Linked DNA regions of Oreochromis niloticus. Each later gene encodes a partner of the first gene's protein in a complex. Links are inferred from orthologs where the notes say so. Each region holds a gene or a part of one and is shown on either strand. Other genes may lie near its edges.

Region 1 (3,922 bases):
GACCCCTGAGGCTTATCCATATTGCCAATGCTGGGTTTACCCTAGGTATTTAAAGTCAACCAACTTCACTGTTATGCCTGTTTTCCTCCTATTCACACACATATTATATCTCAGTTCTATAAACTTTCGTTCCTCTTCTCTCCAGAACAGATCTTCACCTCTCCAGGCTCTCTTCCACCTGCTCCTTACTCTCTCATAACTTTATCATTAAGACTATAATGTTATAGTCCACTGAGACTCTTGCCTGACCTCATCTGTCATCTGTCTGGCCATCGTTCCCTTCCACCTGGTCTCCTGTAAACGCAATATATCTACCTTCCTTCTCTTCATTATATCGGCCAGCTCTTTCGCTTTCACAATCACACACTCACCTCATTCCCCCTATCTTTCTCTCTTGTTGGCTCTGAACATGCCTTCCCCTCTCCTGTTTCTTTGTCTCCGGCCACTAGTAGCACAGTTTCTATTGGCACCTTGATGGCAACAGCACCAGAGGATCTTGTTTTAAACCTGCATGTAAATAGCATTGTTAATGGTCCGCATGCTTGATTTGGTAAAAATTTTATGTTGGATGGCCTTCTTGATCTAACCCGACCCATTTAGCCAGGGACTGGCACTAGGAGTACACTGACTTGTGGTCCCCAGTGCCCCCCCCCCAAGCCCACGGCTGGTTTAACAGAATATACAGTACATGTAATATAAAAATACAGTAAATAACATGACCTGTCAACACATTTCACACTTAGCTTGAACATTAAAAGAAATGTGATTGCATGATTAAAACACTAATCTAAAAATAAAAAATAAAGTCATCATAAATCTCTTAAGTAATCGTTTGACACTCAATATGATCCTCATCATGTCACTCTGTTATTCATGACCTTTGCCCCATATAAGCGGAACTTTTCTTCTCTGGGTTTTGTTTATGACATAGATATGAGGAGCACCGTATGATTCGTATGTGGTTTACGGTAATTTACCTATTTTAAGCAAGTTGATCAATAAGACAATCATTACGATAGTATTGGAAGTGATATAAGACTCATTCACCAACAATCGCAGTAAGCTCGAACTGTTATTCAGTCAACGAAATTGCGGCGACCGGCGACTTTTTGTTGAGTTTAGCAACCAACTTACACACACTACAGCCAATCGTAACCTACAACGCTGGATAATGCCAGCATTTCATTGGCTAGAGTGGGGGGCGGTCACTTCAGTCCCTCCTCTGGTTTCACCCTGAAATAATTCCGACTGCTTCTTGAGTGAAGGTTCATTGCGGTGACTGTGTAACGCTAGCTGTCTGTTTTATTTAAACGTTTCAGCTACAATGTCTGGCCGTGTTCTCGTCGGAGTTAAGCGTGTCATTGACTATGCAGTTAAGGTAATATCTGAAGTCAAATTACCTATTTTCTTTCGCGCTTTTAAAGGTATTTTTCTTTGCTCACTTATTTGACATTCTGTGCTCTGCTAGCTAATGTTAGCCTAAAATCGTCGGTTGTGGAAAACCAGAGCAACACCACACCACTGACCGGTCATATTATTTTGACAGATAAGTTGTTTGTCTCTAGCCAAATTAATGTATTCACTTATTTAATGCACAATACTGAGAAGCTGAGTTTGTGTTTAGCAGGGCAGCAAACGACTTCTTGCAAGTTGTATAACATGTCTGTTTGAACCTCTGGAATGACTTCCATGCAAATTGGGCAGTGACTTTCGCAGATTTTAAAGTAGTTTGTAAGACAGGCGTGTATGTTGCAGGAACCGGTATTCAAATGGGAATATTCTTTTACTTTTTAACATTACCCTTCAGTTGAGGGACAGCACCATAATCAATAAGCAATACTAGCTGGTGTATGTTGCAGCAAGAACAGTCCTGCCTCAGCTGCTCTCAGCAGGATCTGCACAGTGCCAAAACGACTGTGATTACAATATCCTCAGCGGTCTGATAGGTAGAGGTGTCAGTACTTAGTCAGAGTATCGGCTTTATTTATTTATTTTTTCCCATTTTAAATTGTGTGCAGTTTGGGGAAATGCCCACGCCTGCTTGTAATTTCAGATTAAGTGTTCTCATGTTATTTTATATTTTATCACTCGTGTTTTATATGACTGACTGATTACTGCAAGAATTGAATTTTTAACTGGCAAGTGTTCTGTATAAGTGAAGTTGCATTATATTGACTTTATAGCAAGGTCCATTCACAGAAACGTTAAAGCCACTAGGTTTTCTTATTTTTTTTCTTAAATTAAAAAAAAAACAAACATTAATTAAATGTTTTTTATTGTCATACAATGACAGTAAAAAACATTAATATACTGCAAGTATCCTAGCCACACTTGAGGAAGACCTTTTCCTCAACACCCTCTCTAGTCCATTGAGATGTATATACTTTTTCAGAATTTGGCATGGAAGTCGCAGCAGCTCCAAAAGTGTGCAATGTGCTGCTGGAAGTCGCAACAGCACATTACACCTTAACCACATTAAAGCAAGGCCTTATTACCCAGTGCCAGCACCAGTGCTACCTTTGTGACTTTCCAAAAGAGTAGAAGTGATTATAGTAGCACATCAATTCCAGTGGTGTTAGAATTGATCATTACAGACCAATTTTTAAAAAAAGATAAGATTAGTTAAAGGTTTTCTGCCAGCTACATTAAATCTGTTTAAATATCCATCACTGGATGTATTTACCCTTTTAACACCTTGTATTGGCTCAGTTCATTTCTAAGTTTCTGTCATTGTGTTTGTTTCTTTAATTTAGCTCCCCTGTAGTGACCCTGTGTTATTGTTTTGTTTCTCCACAGATCCGTGTGAAGCCAGACAACACTGGCGTGGTGACAGATGGCGTTAAGCACTCAATGAACCCCTTCTGTGAGATTGCTGTGGAGGAGGCGGTCAAGCTGAAGGAGAAGAAGCTTATTAAGGAGGTTGTGGCTGTCAGCTGTGGGCCACAGCAGTCGCAGGTGAATGAGCTGGGGCGAGACAGTAATTTAGCAAGTTAACTGATTTTTGGAGTTCTTTGGAGCTGCTGCAAGTTGATACATATATATACCTTTTTTTTCAGGTGTATTATTTTACATGTAAAATAACTTTTGAAATCCCATGCATATAACCTGTCAGACTCACTGTAAGCAGAAAGTGATTATTATGATGTTTACATAAATGTATTTTTAATATGTTTAAGGTTATCAACAATTATAATTTCAGGGTTGTCATCAAACATCAAGCCAAAGAAAAGTTCTCTTACATGTGTTTTTTCTAACTCAGGAGACCATCCGTACTGCCCTTGCCATGGGGGCTGACCGTGGCATTCATGTGGACGTGAGTGGGAAAGACTATGAAAACCTGGGACCCCTTCAGGTCTCTAAGATCCTGGCAGCTCTTGCCAAACAGGAGGATGCTCAGCTTATTCTCCTTGGCAAACAGGTTAAAGATTTCAGATAGTTTATTTTCCTCACACTCTCTCAAATTGCATTCTTAGTTTCCATACTCTAAAGAATACTTGCACTGCTGTTAAGTAATTAAGGACTTGTGTTTATTTCATAGGCCATCGATGATGATTGCAATCAGACTGGCCAGATGACAGCAGCTTTACTGGACTGGCCTCAGGTAAGACTACCTTAAATAGTAGCGCTGAGATATTTGACCCTATAATTATGTAGGTATTAGTTTATTTTCTTTCTTTTGTTCTCTTTTTTTGTAGATTAAGTTTCTATGTTTTCTGTTTCTTCATCTGTGTTGTATAACAGTAATGATAAGAGGATATGTTCCTGTTCCCAATAGCCTTCACTAACCTTATCAAAGTTGGTAAAAGCTAGTTTGAGTCAGTAAGATCTACAGTAATCTTGCACATATCAACAAAGCCAAAGTCAAAGGCTGCCTGGATAGATGGAGTGAAGTTCTTCTTTGGCTGGCCAAAACAGAGCACTT
Region 2 (3,922 bases), on another chromosome or scaffold:
TAATAGTTTAAGGACACTGGTTGATCATTGCTCTCGTTGGGATAAGGGGATTTCTCTAGTTGGGTCAGTCTCTTGGGCTTTCTAATGCCCCTGGAGGTTTTCTTCTGCAGAGGTATGCTGGAGAAGGCCATCGACTGCCATCGAGCAGTTACATTAAGTCAAGTTGTAACTCCCCAACAAGTCACACTGAGGGTTCAGGTTGATGTTACATGTCACCTGTAACATTTGCCTCAATTTCAGGACCCAGCAGAGGATTACACTGTAAGAAACAATGTAGTTTGACATAGTCCCAGTGCACAGAATGGAACTGATGTACTGCACATAGAGTTTATAGATATTGCTAATTTCATGTTGCAAGTAGTTTTTTTTAATGTTATAGCTAATTTGTGTTAAAAAAAAAAGTGAGGGGACAAAAACTTTCTTTCACTTTCTTTTCACTTCTCAAACTACACACAAAAAAAAGCTTCTCAAATATATCTCGGTAACATTTGACAATATTTATTCAAAATGTATTCTTTCTGTCTGTCTCGAAATGTATTCTACTTTTCTTTATTTTTGTCATTTTGCGTTTTCTCTACACAGCACTTGCATAGCGGAGGATCTCCAATCAGAGTTAAATGTGCTCCTGCTTGATTTGAAGAGGAAAGCAAACATTAACTTAATACGAACCCCCCCCCAAAAAAAAAACCAAACCCAAAACAAAACAAAACAAAAATGAAAGATTCTGTTTATTTATTTATTTTGGTGTTTGATATTTCTGTCAATATGATTAAACTTCACAGAGAGAGAGAGATAGAGGGAGAGAGGGAGAGCGAGAGCGTTGGCCGGAAGTTGCGGTTCTTGATCGAAGCTATCTCGCGAGAATTCCTCGCCGACGTCAGATGACCTTTGGCACAGTTTTGTGTCTGCAGGACTGGAAGGGAGCTGTAGCTTTCGGGGTCCAAGATGAACAGAGCTCTTAACAAATCAAATCTGAAACATTTGGTAAGAAGAACGCTGACACTAACTTACAGTGAGGCATTGCATTAATCGGTTAAATCAGTTTTTAACAGTAAACTCTGGTTTCTTTGCAGCAGCTACTAGCTTGCTTTATGACTTAGCTACACATTACCCGGATCATTGTCGTTTCTAGACGCAAGTGTGCTACAAGGAATTCACACATGTGGCAGTATTAGTTAACATAATGCGACAATAAGTCTGCATACTATCTCTACTTTGTGAAATAGCTCAAAAAGGAGTTAATATTTTTGGAACGAAAGCTAGTTAGTGCTAGCCTGGCTAGCCTCATGCTTATGAAACGGTTACGAAACTGCCACTTGCAGGTGTTACCAAAGAGTCAAAATTAAAAATACATATGTCTGGTGAGATGTGTAGGCAATAGGTTGGTAGGAAAATGTAGTTTTCATATGTTTTGTGTATTTTGGGCTTCTCCCTGTTATCCAATCAGTTTTTATTCCCCCCCCCCCCCCCCCCCCGCGCCCCCCCTCCCCCTTTACAGGCTCTACCATAGTTAGTGAGAATTTGGAAGGGTTACTTAGAAATTTCTTAATTATTTTACTCATTATGTCAAAAATAACTAGCTGGATCTAGCTTCAAAGGCCAGTCTCTGCCAAATTAAACCACCTATATCACCTTGAAACTGCACAGGTCCAACCTGCACTGCCGTAAAGTACAAGAATTGAGGAAGTGTTTTTAGTATTTATTGATCACAAGGTATTTATAAAGTTATGCAAAATGTTTTGTATTATTTTTCATGTGTATATTATGGATGCATTATTAAAATTGTTTGGATCTGACACAAATCCTTTGAAATACATCAAACCTGACAGAAACTTGAACTCATAGTAGATTATTTCATGAAGACAGTTTATGAAACTCAAATCTGTCATTTAATTCAGGTGGAAACTATAATTTTCTGTCCTGTGTAACCTTTGGGAGTGCTCTATTGTGCATTGTGCATATAATCTTTTTCACAGCACTGTTTTGTGGGAACCCCTGGTTGAGTTGACATGGCCTGTCCTTTTTCTCCATTTGCTGGTCTTTATCTGAATGACCTTTGCGTCACATGGCTGATTAACCGTGTGAGGTCATGTCCAGATGAGGCTGGCAGCATCCTGTTTTACTTTGACTGAGCCAGATGCAGCCGTTTTAGAGGCTGCACCGAAAATTGTTTACCCTCTATCCTGACATTATGTGTGCACCTTCCCACAGCATTTATTTCTAAAGATGATCTCAGACTCTGTATCAAAATATTTAATGCACAACCATTTATTCTAAATAATGCATGTATAAACACAGGTAAAGCATTAGGTAAAAATTATTATGTAGGACATTTGCCTGTTATACAATTTTACTGCTCACTCTTAAACACATGAAATTGGTCAGCAGATATTTATGACATTGGATTGTGTGGTAGAAATGAAGATAAAGTGAATTCAGCTTTTCTGCTCAACACTACTTCAAGATGATTGTACTGTGATGATTATGGTGTCTGTGGTCAATTTTAGGTGGCAGTATCTATCTTTTTTTTTTTTTTTTTTTCAAATGAAAAACAAATTTGATAAGAATACAGAAACATTCATATGTTACCAAGCATGTATTTTATTTTTAAACCTCTTTAGGCAGCAGAACTAACAAAACAGTGATATATTATCATTTTGACTGATTGTGTTTTCAGACTGGTCTCCTGCAGAGGTTTCAAAGCACCTTGGTCATTGCAGAACACAACAATGAAAAATTAACTCCTATTACCCTCAATGCCATCACGGCTGCTACTAAAGTGGGAGGAGAGGTGTCCTGTCTGGTCGCTGGAACAAACTGTGCAAAGGTAGGTAAAGCTTTTGATGTGCAGAGTATGTGTGTGCGTGCATGTAAATGGAATAACTAAAATGACGAAAGATTGTGTTGCCATTACGGAGCAAACGTAAAGTAAATATTAGTTAAACTGATGACAAACTTGTTAAGGGTGCAATAAAAGCGGCTGATTGCAGGAAATCTGGTTCTGACAAGAGTGGTGGTGCGCTGATAAAGTTACAGACTCACTCCTGCTGCCACAGGCACAGTAGGACAGGCTTTATTCAGGACTTCTCCTAGCTCTCCAGAGCTGAAATTGGTTGGGTTTAATGTAAAAGTACAATCATGGAATCATCAGCTTCCCTCCCCCCTTTATTAAACACCAAAGTAAAACAAAACACAACAAAGGCAGGCATGGATCACCTCTGCTATTTTTGGTGTGTTTGTGCTTCACTTTTGGAGTAGGATGTTGTAGTGTGTATTTTGCTGTACACAAAGATATGCACAAAGAAAGTTGGATGTCTTTTCTGTGTTTTCAGGTTGCAGAGGAAATCAGCAAAGTGAAAGGTGTGAAGAAGGTCCTGGTGGCCCAACATGATTCTTACAAAGGTGGCCTACCAGGTATTATTGGCGCTTCTTTTTTCAATATTTGCCAGTCTCTGAGTGATGTGGTAATTAACTTGCACAGAGAGTAATAATGTGTTTAATTAACCGCTCATATGGTTAAGAGATTAAGAACAGGTGTCACAGCATTTGCGGTATGCCATCTGCCTAATGTTGTTTCTGCTATCGGACTATTTGTTATTGAGTAATTTGTATGTATTGTGCTATTTCCTAAATCTGTAACATATTGTATTGTTAAACAGTCTAGTCTGTTTCTGTTAATGTTACTGTATTGGAGCAACTGTAGCCCACATAATTTCCTTAAGGATTAATAAATTATGCTGATTCTGATTTGTTTGTTTTATTAGAGGAGTTGACTCCACTTATCCTGCAGACACAAAAGCAATTCAACTTCACTCACATCTGTGCTGGTGCCTCAGCTTTTGGAAAGGTAAATCACAGTAGACAAATGATGCTTGTATAACTTGTATTTCTGTATTATATTACCCTTTTATTTTTTTTGTCT

Evidence for each region.
Region 2: the proteins of etfb (region 1) and etfa are in contact, whole or in part, in a crystal structure (PDB 2A1U), measured with the Homo sapiens proteins. The link is inferred for Oreochromis niloticus from reciprocal best matches to the Homo sapiens genes ETFB and ETFA. Residues at the interface, in NP_001976.1 of Homo sapiens: Ile14, Tyr16, Val18, Ile20, Val22, Val29, Thr31, Phe41, Leu102, Arg106, Lys124, Gln125, Ile127, Asp128, Asp129, Asp130, Cys131, Asn132, Gln133, Gln136, Met137, Ala139, Gly140, Phe141, Asp143, Trp144, Pro145, Gln146, Thr148, Phe149; in NP_000117.1 of Homo sapiens: Glu27, Leu88, Pro89, Glu90, Ser113, Ala114, Phe115, Lys117, Asn118, Pro121, Arg122, Ala124, Ala125, Lys126, Glu128, Val129, Ala130, Pro131, Ile132, Ser133, Arg146, Thr147, Ile148, Tyr149, Ala150, Gly151, Asn152, Ala153, Leu154, Cys155.

What each region holds. Positions count from the first base shown.
Region 1 is NC_031976.2:28,323,363-28,327,284, forward strand, and holds the start of etfb (electron transfer flavoprotein subunit beta), read left to right. Parts: upstream 1-1,221; 5' UTR 1,222-1,324; coding exon 1,325-1,378; intron 1,379-2,796; coding exon 2,797-2,955; intron 2,956-3,259; coding exon 3,260-3,418; intron 3,419-3,538; coding exon 3,539-3,601; intron 3,602-3,922. UniProt on the Homo sapiens protein: Heterodimeric electron transfer flavoprotein that accepts electrons from several mitochondrial dehydrogenases, including acyl-CoA dehydrogenases, glutaryl-CoA and sarcosine dehydrogenase.
Region 2 is NC_031972.2:52,800,783-52,804,704, reverse strand, and holds the start of etfa (electron transfer flavoprotein subunit alpha, mitochondrial), read left to right. Parts: upstream 1-826; 5' UTR 827-945; coding exon 946-984; intron 985-2,677; coding exon 2,678-2,827; intron 2,828-3,332; coding exon 3,333-3,414; intron 3,415-3,764; coding exon 3,765-3,847; intron 3,848-3,922. UniProt on the Homo sapiens protein: Heterodimeric electron transfer flavoprotein that accepts electrons from several mitochondrial dehydrogenases, including acyl-CoA dehydrogenases, glutaryl-CoA and sarcosine dehydrogenase.